Callithrix jacchus: one gene and its partners. The protein of the gene in region 2 interacts with the protein of the main gene of each other region in a pairwise test. Links are inferred from orthologs where the notes say so. Each region holds a gene or a part of one and is shown on either strand. Other genes may lie near its edges.

Region 1 (3,085 bases), on a different chromosome or scaffold from region 2:
CCTTCTTAAAATCAATTCTTACTCCTATAGTAGATTAACTGTAGATCTCTTCGGATTTCCTGAATTCATGATTATTGACATGCAAATAAAGACATACTTATTATCATTTGAACCAGAAATTTGTGAAAAAGGTCTTTTTTTTTCTTTTAGTTCTGAAAACCCAACAAAGCTCTGTAGCACTACAACTCACTAGTTCATCTCATAGAAGGGCCTCATATGTCCAGGGGCCCCTCAAAAGGGGAGTCATCAGCTGCCCTGTCCTTTTCCAAGTTCTAAAAAAGCAGCTGTCGGTAGTGTCTATATTTGTATAATGATTTAACAGGACAGGTGGTTAGGATGTTTTCCCCAACTTTAATCCCGTTTTTCAATTAAAAATAACATTTTTTCCTCTTTTAAGACGTATATATTTTTTGTTTCATATGAAAGAACACAGAAAGGTATTAAGAATGAGAAAAGTCTACTCTTTTGGGCTCCTTTTCTGATATACCTCTTCCACTAGTTTTAGTGGAGGGAAATCAGAGTATTGGTAGGAGAGAGGACAGAAGGAGGTGAATCCTGGGAGCCAAGGACAGAGAGAGGCAAGTCCCCAGAGTGGGAACGGCTAACATCTCCCTGAGATGATATGTTCCTCCCTGGGCAGGCAGAGGAAGTCCGAAGAACACACAAAGAAAGGAGAGTGGCAAAGCTCAGGCCGGGGATGTTCAAAGGGACTCCCGGTGTGAATGGGGGCTGGCCCGAAAGCCCCGCCTGACTCGGGGCTGCAGGAGGGGGCGTGGGACGGGGGCGGAGCCGCTGGCGATGACAACCGCCCCACGTGACCTGCCAAGTGAGTCTGTCTCGCTCTGGTGTCAGAGCCGCCGTCGCTCGCTCCCTTCTCGGCAGCGGTACCTGCTCCAGGTGGCCCTGAGAACGTGCGGGCCGGGGGCGACCCCGAAAGTAGGAAGCGGAGGGGAAGCAGGTAAGGGACCTGGAGGAGATCCCTGGGGTTGGTGTTGGGGAGCGGCCCCGGCCTGAGGATGACCCACCCCCGGGTAGCCGCGCGGTGACGCAGGCGGTCCACCATGAAGCAGACCCCGGGCCCCACCGCCTTCCTTGAGCCGAGAGGTGCCCGGCCTCGCGAGAGCCGGCGGTCCTGAGGCTACGACCCTTCGGAAACACCTGCCTCCGCCACCTGCGCAAGCTTTTCCGACACCCCTGCCCCGCCCTTCTTGGTGCAGAAAATGGTGGTCATCTTGGGGGGAGGGGCTGCTGAGGCGGGGGGCGAGGGCGGCGAGGAGGGCCCGGGCTCGGGACGGGGAAGGGGCTGGGTGACAGCTTGTCATCGCTAGCGTTCCGCTCCAGCAGCCCCCACTCCCTGCCCCCTGCTCTTCTGCAGGTCTGAGGGACTAAGTGTCCGGCGGCGCGCCTCGAGTCGAGAATCGGGAGGAGGAGATCGCAAGGATAGGCCCAGGTCGGTGCGAGGTACGGTGGTGGGGCGGGGGTCGGAACGTGAGGAAAGCCCAGTCTGAGACCCCAATCCATGCCTTCACTCAACACTTCGCAATCCTTCCCCTCCCCCACCCCATCCTCGTCCTCCATTTTGGTGCCTGCAGAGGCCTGGAGATGGATCTGCAGGGAAGATGGTGGGCTTTGCAAGAGAGAGGGGCTAGGATTGTCTCCCCGCGAGGGCACACTGGGTCTCTCTGGTGGAAAAAAAAATGAAATTTTAAAATGGCCTTTGAAGTCCAGGGCTCTGAATTTTGAAAGGTGTATAGTAGGGTCTCTGTCCTCGGTGCTGATCGGTTCACCAAGAATTGAGTCTCTTTTTTTCTCTCTTGTCTCCTAGGAGTAATGGAGTCCAAAGAGGAACTAGCGTTAAACAATCTCAACGTGGAAAATGTCAAAGAGGAAAATGAAGAAAAAGATGAAAAGAAGCAAGTTGCTAATAAAGGGGAGCCCTTGGCCCTCCCTTTGGATGCTGGTGAATACTATGTGCCCAGAGGAAATCGTAGGCGGTTCCGCGTTAGGCAGCCCATCCTGCAGTATAGATGGGACATGATGCATAGGCTTGGAGAACCACAGGCAAGGATGAGAGAGGAGAATATGGAAAGGCTTGGGGAGGAGGTGAGACAGCTGATGGAAAAGTTGAGGGAAAAGCAGTTGAGTCATAGTCTGCGGGCTGTCAGCACTGACCCCCCTCACCATGACCATCACGATGAGTTTTGCCTTATGCCCTGAATCCTGATGATTTCCCTGAAGTTTATAGGAAGACCCCTGCTTCCTAAACTTACATATTTGTGGTGTACCTTTGTTGCAAACCTTTTGATGTTACTTATTTCTTGTGGGTCTCCTGATACCAGCTTCTAACTGAATGTTGTTTCTGACCCAGTTTGTAAGTTTCTGTCAGCAGGCGAGTTTTACCTACTGCATGGAAAGATGCTCATTATATATTGTGAAGTTAATAAAGCAGTTTTAAAAAGCATTCTCTGCATTCTTTTTTACTTTAAATCTTAAATATGAACATAAACAGTCATGTATATATACATATATACACACACATATATAGTAAATAATGTTTATCTCTGTGGTAGAATTAAAAGGGAATTTTATTCTTGCTTATCCATCATTTCTTATTTTTCAAAATGGAACTCTATTACTTATATATGACCACCTTATAAAAGCAATGTGTACACTTATTAAACATTTATGACAGAATCTCAATTTGAGCTTACCCCTGGGATCTCTTTTTAGAAATGTAAGTGACACATCTCTCTGAAGATCATAATATTTATCAGTAAGATGAAGACAAGCAACCTCCCAGGGTTGCTGTATTGACCAGATGAGAGAATAAGGTTGTGAACTTTCTCCCAAGTTCTTGCTCTTAGTGACATGCATGACCCAACCCTTTAGATATTTCCTTCCGTTATTAGAGGACATTTCCGAGGTGAGGTCTTCCCTATGCTTACAAGTCCAGTAGGCTTAGGAGTAGGTACTTTCATTCCTCTGCTGCTGCGTTCTATTGTCATCTTCCCTGGATATTATTCTGTCTGCTAGGTTTTGCTCTTACACTAGCTCCTACCATTGCAGATGTTCAGGAATCCTCAAA
Region 2 (3,753 bases):
CTATGAATGCCATTGTAAGAATTACCAACATCATGCTTTGTAAGTCCTCTAAGATGTGCATCTGTTACATCTGGCCAGACCCACTTGAACAGTCCTTTTCATTACATGTTAATTACTGGCTTCTGTGCCTGGGACAGAAAGATTATTCAGACAACTCACATTCACACAACAGCCAATCCTGTTAGGCTTTGACCTTCAGCTTTTGGGTCTGTATTTACTTTATTACATAAACATAAATATTATATTGTGATGTATATTCTTTTATATATTTTTCAAATACATAACTTATACATATATATGCATATATATTATATATATATCATTCTTAAATATAAATTTCCAAATATAAATTATTTCGCGTCAAGCTAAACAGGATAAAAACATGTAAACATATACACTTGGTTTTGGTCAAGTAAAACACAAAGTCACAAGTTCATCATAGTTTAACAAGTGCACTTGAAAGGGAAGAAGGGAAAGAACAGACTGTAAACAAACAGATGAGCAGCTGCAAGGCCCTGCAAGGGTCCATTTGTTAAGGCTATTATAGCAGAAAGCTACTAGTTCAATTAAAACTTCTCCTTTCACTCTGCCATATTTACTCTTGAGAGTCTTCAAAATACGTGTGGAAATTCAGTAAACACTAAACTAGAACTGAGTTAATCCTGTTGAAAACAGAGATGACGAAAAAGCCATAAGCTGACATTAATATTAATTTCACCAAAATAGTAACTTTATGGACTTACTTTTTAACACAGATAATCACCATAGTCCTAGGAGAAAAGATACTCAGAATAGACAAGAAAACAGAAACACTGCCTCAACAGCCCCTGAAAGCAATAGGAGTGTCAACATAGGGAAAACAGGCATTAGAAGATGACAGAACCTCAGGAGACTAGACCACATGCCACAGCACGATGCTACAGATTCAAATTGAAATATTCTTCCAGCTCATAATGAAGCAAGTCCCACTGCTCCTCAGAGAAGGGGAACTCATCTCTCAGTGAAAGAAACTGCTTAAACAACAGACTGGCCAGCCGAAGCACGACAAGCTCCTTCTTACTGCTTTTATAGAGCGCGTTGCCCTCTCCCATTCGCACAGGCTCCACAAGTTGATGCCAGTATGCACTGAATGACCCACCACCCGGCCCAGGAGGCTCATCTCCCCAGCCCTCAGGGTATTCATGCTTGTAAAAGCATGTGTCTCCAAATGGGCAGTTACCCCTGCCTTCCGCAAAATACCTGCAGGCCTTGTTGCTCATTGCCTCTTTGTATTGCTGAATAAGTTTCTGCTTCTCTTCCTCCTCCTCCACCCAGAACTCACTGGGAATGACCAAGTCGGAGGTGACCCTGCACTGTGGACAAGACTTGATGATCCTGTTATCAAACTGTCTGGCACTTCTCCACCTGCGGATACACCTAATACAGAAGGTATGGTTGCAATTGGAAAGAATGCCAAATCGGCGGTCATTGGGGTTGGCTTTCTCATAGACAACCTCCATGCAGATGCCACACACCTTGTCCATACCACGCTGCACAGCAAACGAGAGTTCCATATCTTTCTCGTGTGCTTCAATGCAGGCCCTTATATGGTCTTCCCTTTGGGCAGCATCCATGGGGTGCAAGGCCTGCAGCCCACACATGTCGCATATGTCTCCATGGAGGTACATACAGCTCTCCCCACGAAAGCAAACTCCCCTGGAAGCATAATAGCAAAACCGCTCACCCCTGCCCACAGCCATCTGCTTCCTCTCAGTCTCTGAGCTCTGTAGAGGAGCCTCAGGAGCAGATGCAACCCGGCGGCCCCGGTAGGGCTGCCCTGGAACAAACTCAATGGCATCCGCCCAGCTTTCTACACCTGCTTCTCCAGCAGCTCCACGGTCTGCATTGTCTCTCTCGGCTTCAAAGAAACCCCTTTCAGCAGCCGAGCCAATCACAGGCAAGGACTGCGAGGATGCAGCCGGGGGGGCTTCCGCCACTTCCTGAGTCGGGGGCTCGATGTGCGCAGCCGTGCTAGGGCCTCCACTTGCAGAGGCCCCAGACGGCGAAACGCGGCCCTCGGTGGCCATCTTCCGACAAGAAAGGTCGTGGGAATAGCGACAGTTCTCCCCCTCCTTGCACTGCCCATGTATATAATACCTGCAGGCGATCTGCTTTGTCCAAATGCCACTGCTTCGGCTTGGCAAGGGGCTGGGCCAGGCTCCTCCTCCGGAGGCTGGGGCAGGCCTCAGGCCTCCCGTGCGGAGGTGGGCAGGGACTGGAGCTACAGGGAAGGGGGCCCAGCCCACGGCCACATGTGGCAGTGCTGAATCTGGAGCAGCAGATTCCCCGGAGGGCTCACACGCGGGAAGGTCGGGCCCAGACACACCCTCCCCTGCTGCCTCAGCACCTGCCTGGGCCCCGGCTGCCTCGTGGGCTTCTGAGGGAGCTGCAGGCTCTTCCATGGCAGCTTCTTCACCCCGAAATGGTGCCAGAACGTCTCCGGTATTTTTTCTTTAAGGGCTTGAGGCCCGGAGCCGCGGCCACGATCGAGACTTCTCTGGGGGAAGTGTGCACCTCTTTTCCTTCCCCCCTGCTCTTGGCTCCCTGTGACTCTGTGTTCCTACCTACTTCCGGGCACAGGCAGCATGGCGGACACTTCCTGTCGGGGCAACCTACGTGCGCTGCCTGATTTTTGCGGCAATTTTCCAATCTGACATCTCATCTGACATCTTTTTTGTTCACGCAGGCAGGGACCGACCCGGCCCCTTTTGTCTGCCTTCCGCCTCTTGTTTCGCTGTGTTTCGGCAGCCCCTAATTCCCTCCTCACACCATTTCCTCAAGAGAATGAGGTTTTCATGTAATCTCTTCTAGTTTCAGTCATGCACGCTTTCATTGTATTTCCGCGTCTGTCTGCCTTAAATTATAGCTCTGTAGATTCTGAAACATTTCATACGTGAGTTATATAAATTCCTTTTGGATTCATTCCGTCTCACGTCTGTGGGTTTTTTCTTTTAATGCCCTGCCTGTCACTGCGGGAAACTTTTTTCGATTTGTTCTATTGACAAGGCGTCGTTTCGTTTGGTCTTTGTTTTCTGGGATTTCTGAGGGCTTACGTTGGATCCGCTTTTCACCAGCAAGTCATTAGCAGAGAGCACGTCTGATCCGAGGCGAAGTGAGCACCTTTCAGATGTCTGTCTTTATTGTGATTACTATGGTCATTTTCCCACTGTGAAGAAGCCTGGGACTTCAACCAGTCCTGATGCTGGCTTAATAAGGCACTGTCCCCTGCATGACCCAGGCTTTTGTTTTCTCTGCTGGTATATTCATGGCAGCCCTTTGTTTCCCTTCCTTTCTTTCAGCCCCATCTGTGCTGTGTTGTGGCAGGACAGCCTTTTATAACATATCCTGTGCCATATTATCCACAAGAGAATGGTTTTTAATTTCCATGTATGAGCGTTTTGTCATTTTTGCAGATACATGTTAGTACATTAATCATTTTTGTATCCCTGCTTTGCTGAGAGTACTTATTATGACTGCATACTGAATTCAGTCATGAGTTTTATAGATTTTTTTGAGATAATCTTGCTTTTCCCTTTATTCTCTTAATGTGATTATTTGCAGCTACGAATTTCAAATATTTAACCAATTCGTTTCAATAATAAGCCCTCTGTTTCGTGATATATCATATATTATTGGATTTTTTTTCTGAGGAAATTTTGCTGCTTACATTTATAAAAATATTCAGATAATTTTATAAAACATAAAATTATCATC
Region 3 (2,946 bases), on a different chromosome or scaffold from region 2:
GTTCGCAGGTTCTGGCGTGTTGCTGGTTGCCGAGAGCGGAGGCGGCGAGCTCGGCAGGCAGTGCTCCCCGCAGCCCTTCTCACCCAGGTTGTCCTTCCTCCCCGCCAGTCGGTTTCCTTTTGTCTGCATCTCCGAACTCTGTGGGACACGACTCTCTCCTGAGATCTGGGGTTTTAGGGTTGCGCTATACCTCTGCCTCACTCAGATGGTATTCCCCTCCGCTGAGATCGGAGCCCGTGATGAGACTGTGACCTGCTTGCAAATCGGGTGCTCAGTGCCGCTCGCTACTGCGGCGCTGTCCTTAGATCTCACGCCGGAGACTTCACTGTTTCCTGCCCCGCCCCACCTGAGCTCGTCAACCTCGCGGCTCCCACTCACCTCCCCTCAGCCCGGCAGAGGAGCCTTGGCGCCTCCTGTGGGTTCACCGGCCCCTTCCGGGCCCGTCCAGTGTGGGGCCTCCCTGAAGGACAGAGCTGGACCCCGGCCTCACCTGGACTCAAAGTCTTGCGTGCGGGTCACTGAGCACCCAGGGAGGTCAGGGTCCTAACTCAGGTCCAAGTTCAGGGTCTCTAAATCAGATTCCAGTCCCACTCCCAGCCCATCGCCAAGAACTGGAAGAGACAGGAGGAGTGTTACAGGGGAACTTTATTGAGAGGAAACATGATCACACCCAGCCGACATGCTTTCCCTCAATCTCGATCTTGCACTGGCAAGCGCACGCACACACACACACACACACACACACACACACACACAATCTCTAGCCCCTACCACTGTGCAGTTCTCAGGCACAAGGCGGGACACTTACTCCTCAATTCCTAACATCAGGCAGCAGGGGCAGGAGGGAGGCAAGATCGGGGAGAAGTAGCCTGGTCGTGGGGTCGGCAGGAAGCGGGTGCAGAGAGCAGGGGTGGGGCATGACCAGTGATTAGGTGTGCTCAACAGCTGCGAGAAGAGTGGGATCCCCAGCCCCAGGTGGCCTCGGCTCTGCCAGTCCCTTTCCATGGAACCTTTTGGAGCAAGAACAGCGCCTGGGGGAGAAGGGTGGGGCCTCTCACCCCATACTAGTCCTCTTGGCAGGGTGGGGTACTGGAGGGGGCAGGGCAGGGCCGGCTGGTGGCGGGCAACACTCAGCTCTGGGGCTCCTGGGGCGCCTCGCCCCCCTCTTCCCCGGCGTTGTCAGCCGTCCACAGGGTCAGGTTGTCTCGCAGCAGCTGCATGATGAGGGTGCTGTCTTTGTAGGAGTCCTCGCTGAGGGTGTGCAGATCAGCCATGGCCTCGTCGAAGGTGGTCTTGGCCAGCGAGATGGCCTCCTCGGGGCTGTTGGCGATCTCGTAGTGGAAGACGGAAAAGTTCAGGGCCAGGCCCAGGCGGATGGGGTTGGTGGGCGGCATCTCCTTCTTGCTGATGTCCATGGCCTCCTGGTAGGCTGACCGGGCCGAGTCAATGATGCGCTTCTTGTCGTCACCGGTGGCCACCTCAGCCAGGTAGCGGTAGTAGTCGCCCTTCATCTTCAGGTAGAAGACCCGGCTCTCGGCGTCCCCAGACTCCTGGATGAGGTGTCTGTCCAGCAGGCCCAGCACAGTGTCGCACACGCCCCGGAGCTCAGTCTCCACCTTCTCTCGGTACTCATGCACCTCGGGGCCCTTCTCCTCCGAGCCCTCCTCATTGCTTTTCTGCTCAATGCTGGACAGGACCCTCCAGGCAGCCCTCTGGCCACCCACCACGTTCTTGTAGGCCACAGAGAGCAGGTTTCGCTCTTCGCAGGAGAGCTCCTCGCCCTTCTCCACGGCGCCCTTCATGAAGGCTGCCATGTCCTCATAGCGTTCGGCCTGCTCTGCCAGCTTGGCCTTCTGGATCAGACTGGCTCTCTCCATGGCTCTGGGAACAGACAGGAGGGCGGCGGGTAACTGCTGCCTGGGACCAATCCCGGACTCTGTGCCTCTCCTGCTTTCGGCCTGCCTTTTGGCTGGGTGGCCAGGCCCTGAGAAGGGTGGGGAGGAGCAGGGGGCAGGACCAGGGCCCAAGACCTGCCTCCCTCTCCTCTCCTCCCCACACCCTTTCCGGCTCTGCATGAAAGGTAAAAGGGTTGGGATGTGGGAGTGAGTCATCAGGACAGTCAGCAGGAGAAATCTGGGCGTTGGCCCCACCTGCACAGGTGCCTTTCTGGGCTCCACGCTGCCCCCTCTTGTTCAGGACTGGCATTACATGACTGCCCACATCAGGAAGCTGCCTGGCTTCTCATATCAGATCCTCTTTCACAGTGCCCTTCCAGGGGCTAAGGATGGCTTTAGCCCCTGGCTGCTTCAGCCTTGATAGAGCTCATAAAGGTTCAGGAGGATGGGGTTCCTAATCCGGAGAGGTAACTTCCCCCGCTTGGTTCAGGGGAGAATAATTCATGTATAGGTAGGGCTATACAGTTTCTCAAGCACTTTTATATTCATGATCAACTTTAATCCCCTCCATGTCTCTGTGACATACACAGGACCATAGAGATGGGTACACTAAGTTTCAGAGAGGGGTGAGATTTGCTCAAAGTCACATAGCCACCAATTCCCTGAAACTCTTTTCTGCACCCTACCTCCTTTAGATTTTCTCCCATGAGGCCTCTGACCTATGAGCTCCAGGCTGTGTTTGGAAATGAGATCCAGGCTGCTTCCTCAGTCTACCTGAAGACAGTTCCATCCCCCAGATGGGTCCCCTCTGAGCTCCCAGAATGCACAGGTGGCAGCTTTCGGAGTGCCACTTAATAAAGTGTTTAACAAGCAGCCTCTGACGCTCCAGCCCAGCCTTTGTAATTAGTCACCCAGTAGGTTTGTTGAACACATTTCCCATCACTACACAATTTTCCCTTTCAAGTTGGTGGCCTGTTGCCACTTGTTTGAGGACTTACCCTCTGGCCCTCCATGCCAGGTCACCTGCCCTCTCCAAGCCATATGCCATCAG

What was found.
Region 1: the proteins of MKRN3 (region 2) and BEX2 interact in binary tests that used the Homo sapiens proteins (3 or more experiments, as listed by UniProt). The two-hybrid records come from large-scale screens. The link is inferred for Callithrix jacchus from reciprocal best matches to the Homo sapiens genes MKRN3 and BEX2.
Region 3: the proteins of MKRN3 (region 2) and SFN interact in binary tests that used the Homo sapiens proteins (3 or more experiments, as listed by UniProt). The two-hybrid records come from large-scale screens. The link is inferred for Callithrix jacchus from reciprocal best matches to the Homo sapiens genes MKRN3 and SFN.

The regions. Positions count from the first base shown.
Region 1 is NC_133524.1:99,382,524-99,385,608, reverse strand, and holds BEX2 (protein BEX2), read left to right. Parts: upstream 1-828; 5' UTR 829-958; intron 959-1,375; 5' UTR 1,376-1,461; intron 1,462-1,825; 5' UTR 1,826-1,830; coding exon 1,831-2,217; 3' UTR 2,218-2,461; downstream 2,462-3,085. UniProt on the Homo sapiens protein: Regulator of mitochondrial apoptosis and G1 cell cycle in breast cancer.
Region 2 is NC_133507.1:5,632,433-5,636,185, forward strand, and holds MKRN3 (E3 ubiquitin-protein ligase makorin-3), read right to left. Parts: upstream 2,552-3,753; 5' UTR 2,442-2,551; coding exon 918-2,441; 3' UTR 177-917; downstream 1-176. UniProt on the Homo sapiens protein: E3 ubiquitin ligase catalyzing the covalent attachment of ubiquitin moieties onto substrate proteins.
Region 3 is NC_133508.1:63,512,132-63,515,077, reverse strand, and holds SFN (14-3-3 protein sigma), read right to left. Parts: upstream 1,941-2,946; 5' UTR 1,878-1,940; coding exon 1,131-1,877; 3' UTR 628-1,130; downstream 1-627. UniProt on the Homo sapiens protein: Adapter protein implicated in the regulation of a large spectrum of both general and specialized signaling pathways. Binds to a large number of partners, usually by recognition of a phosphoserine or phosphothreonine motif.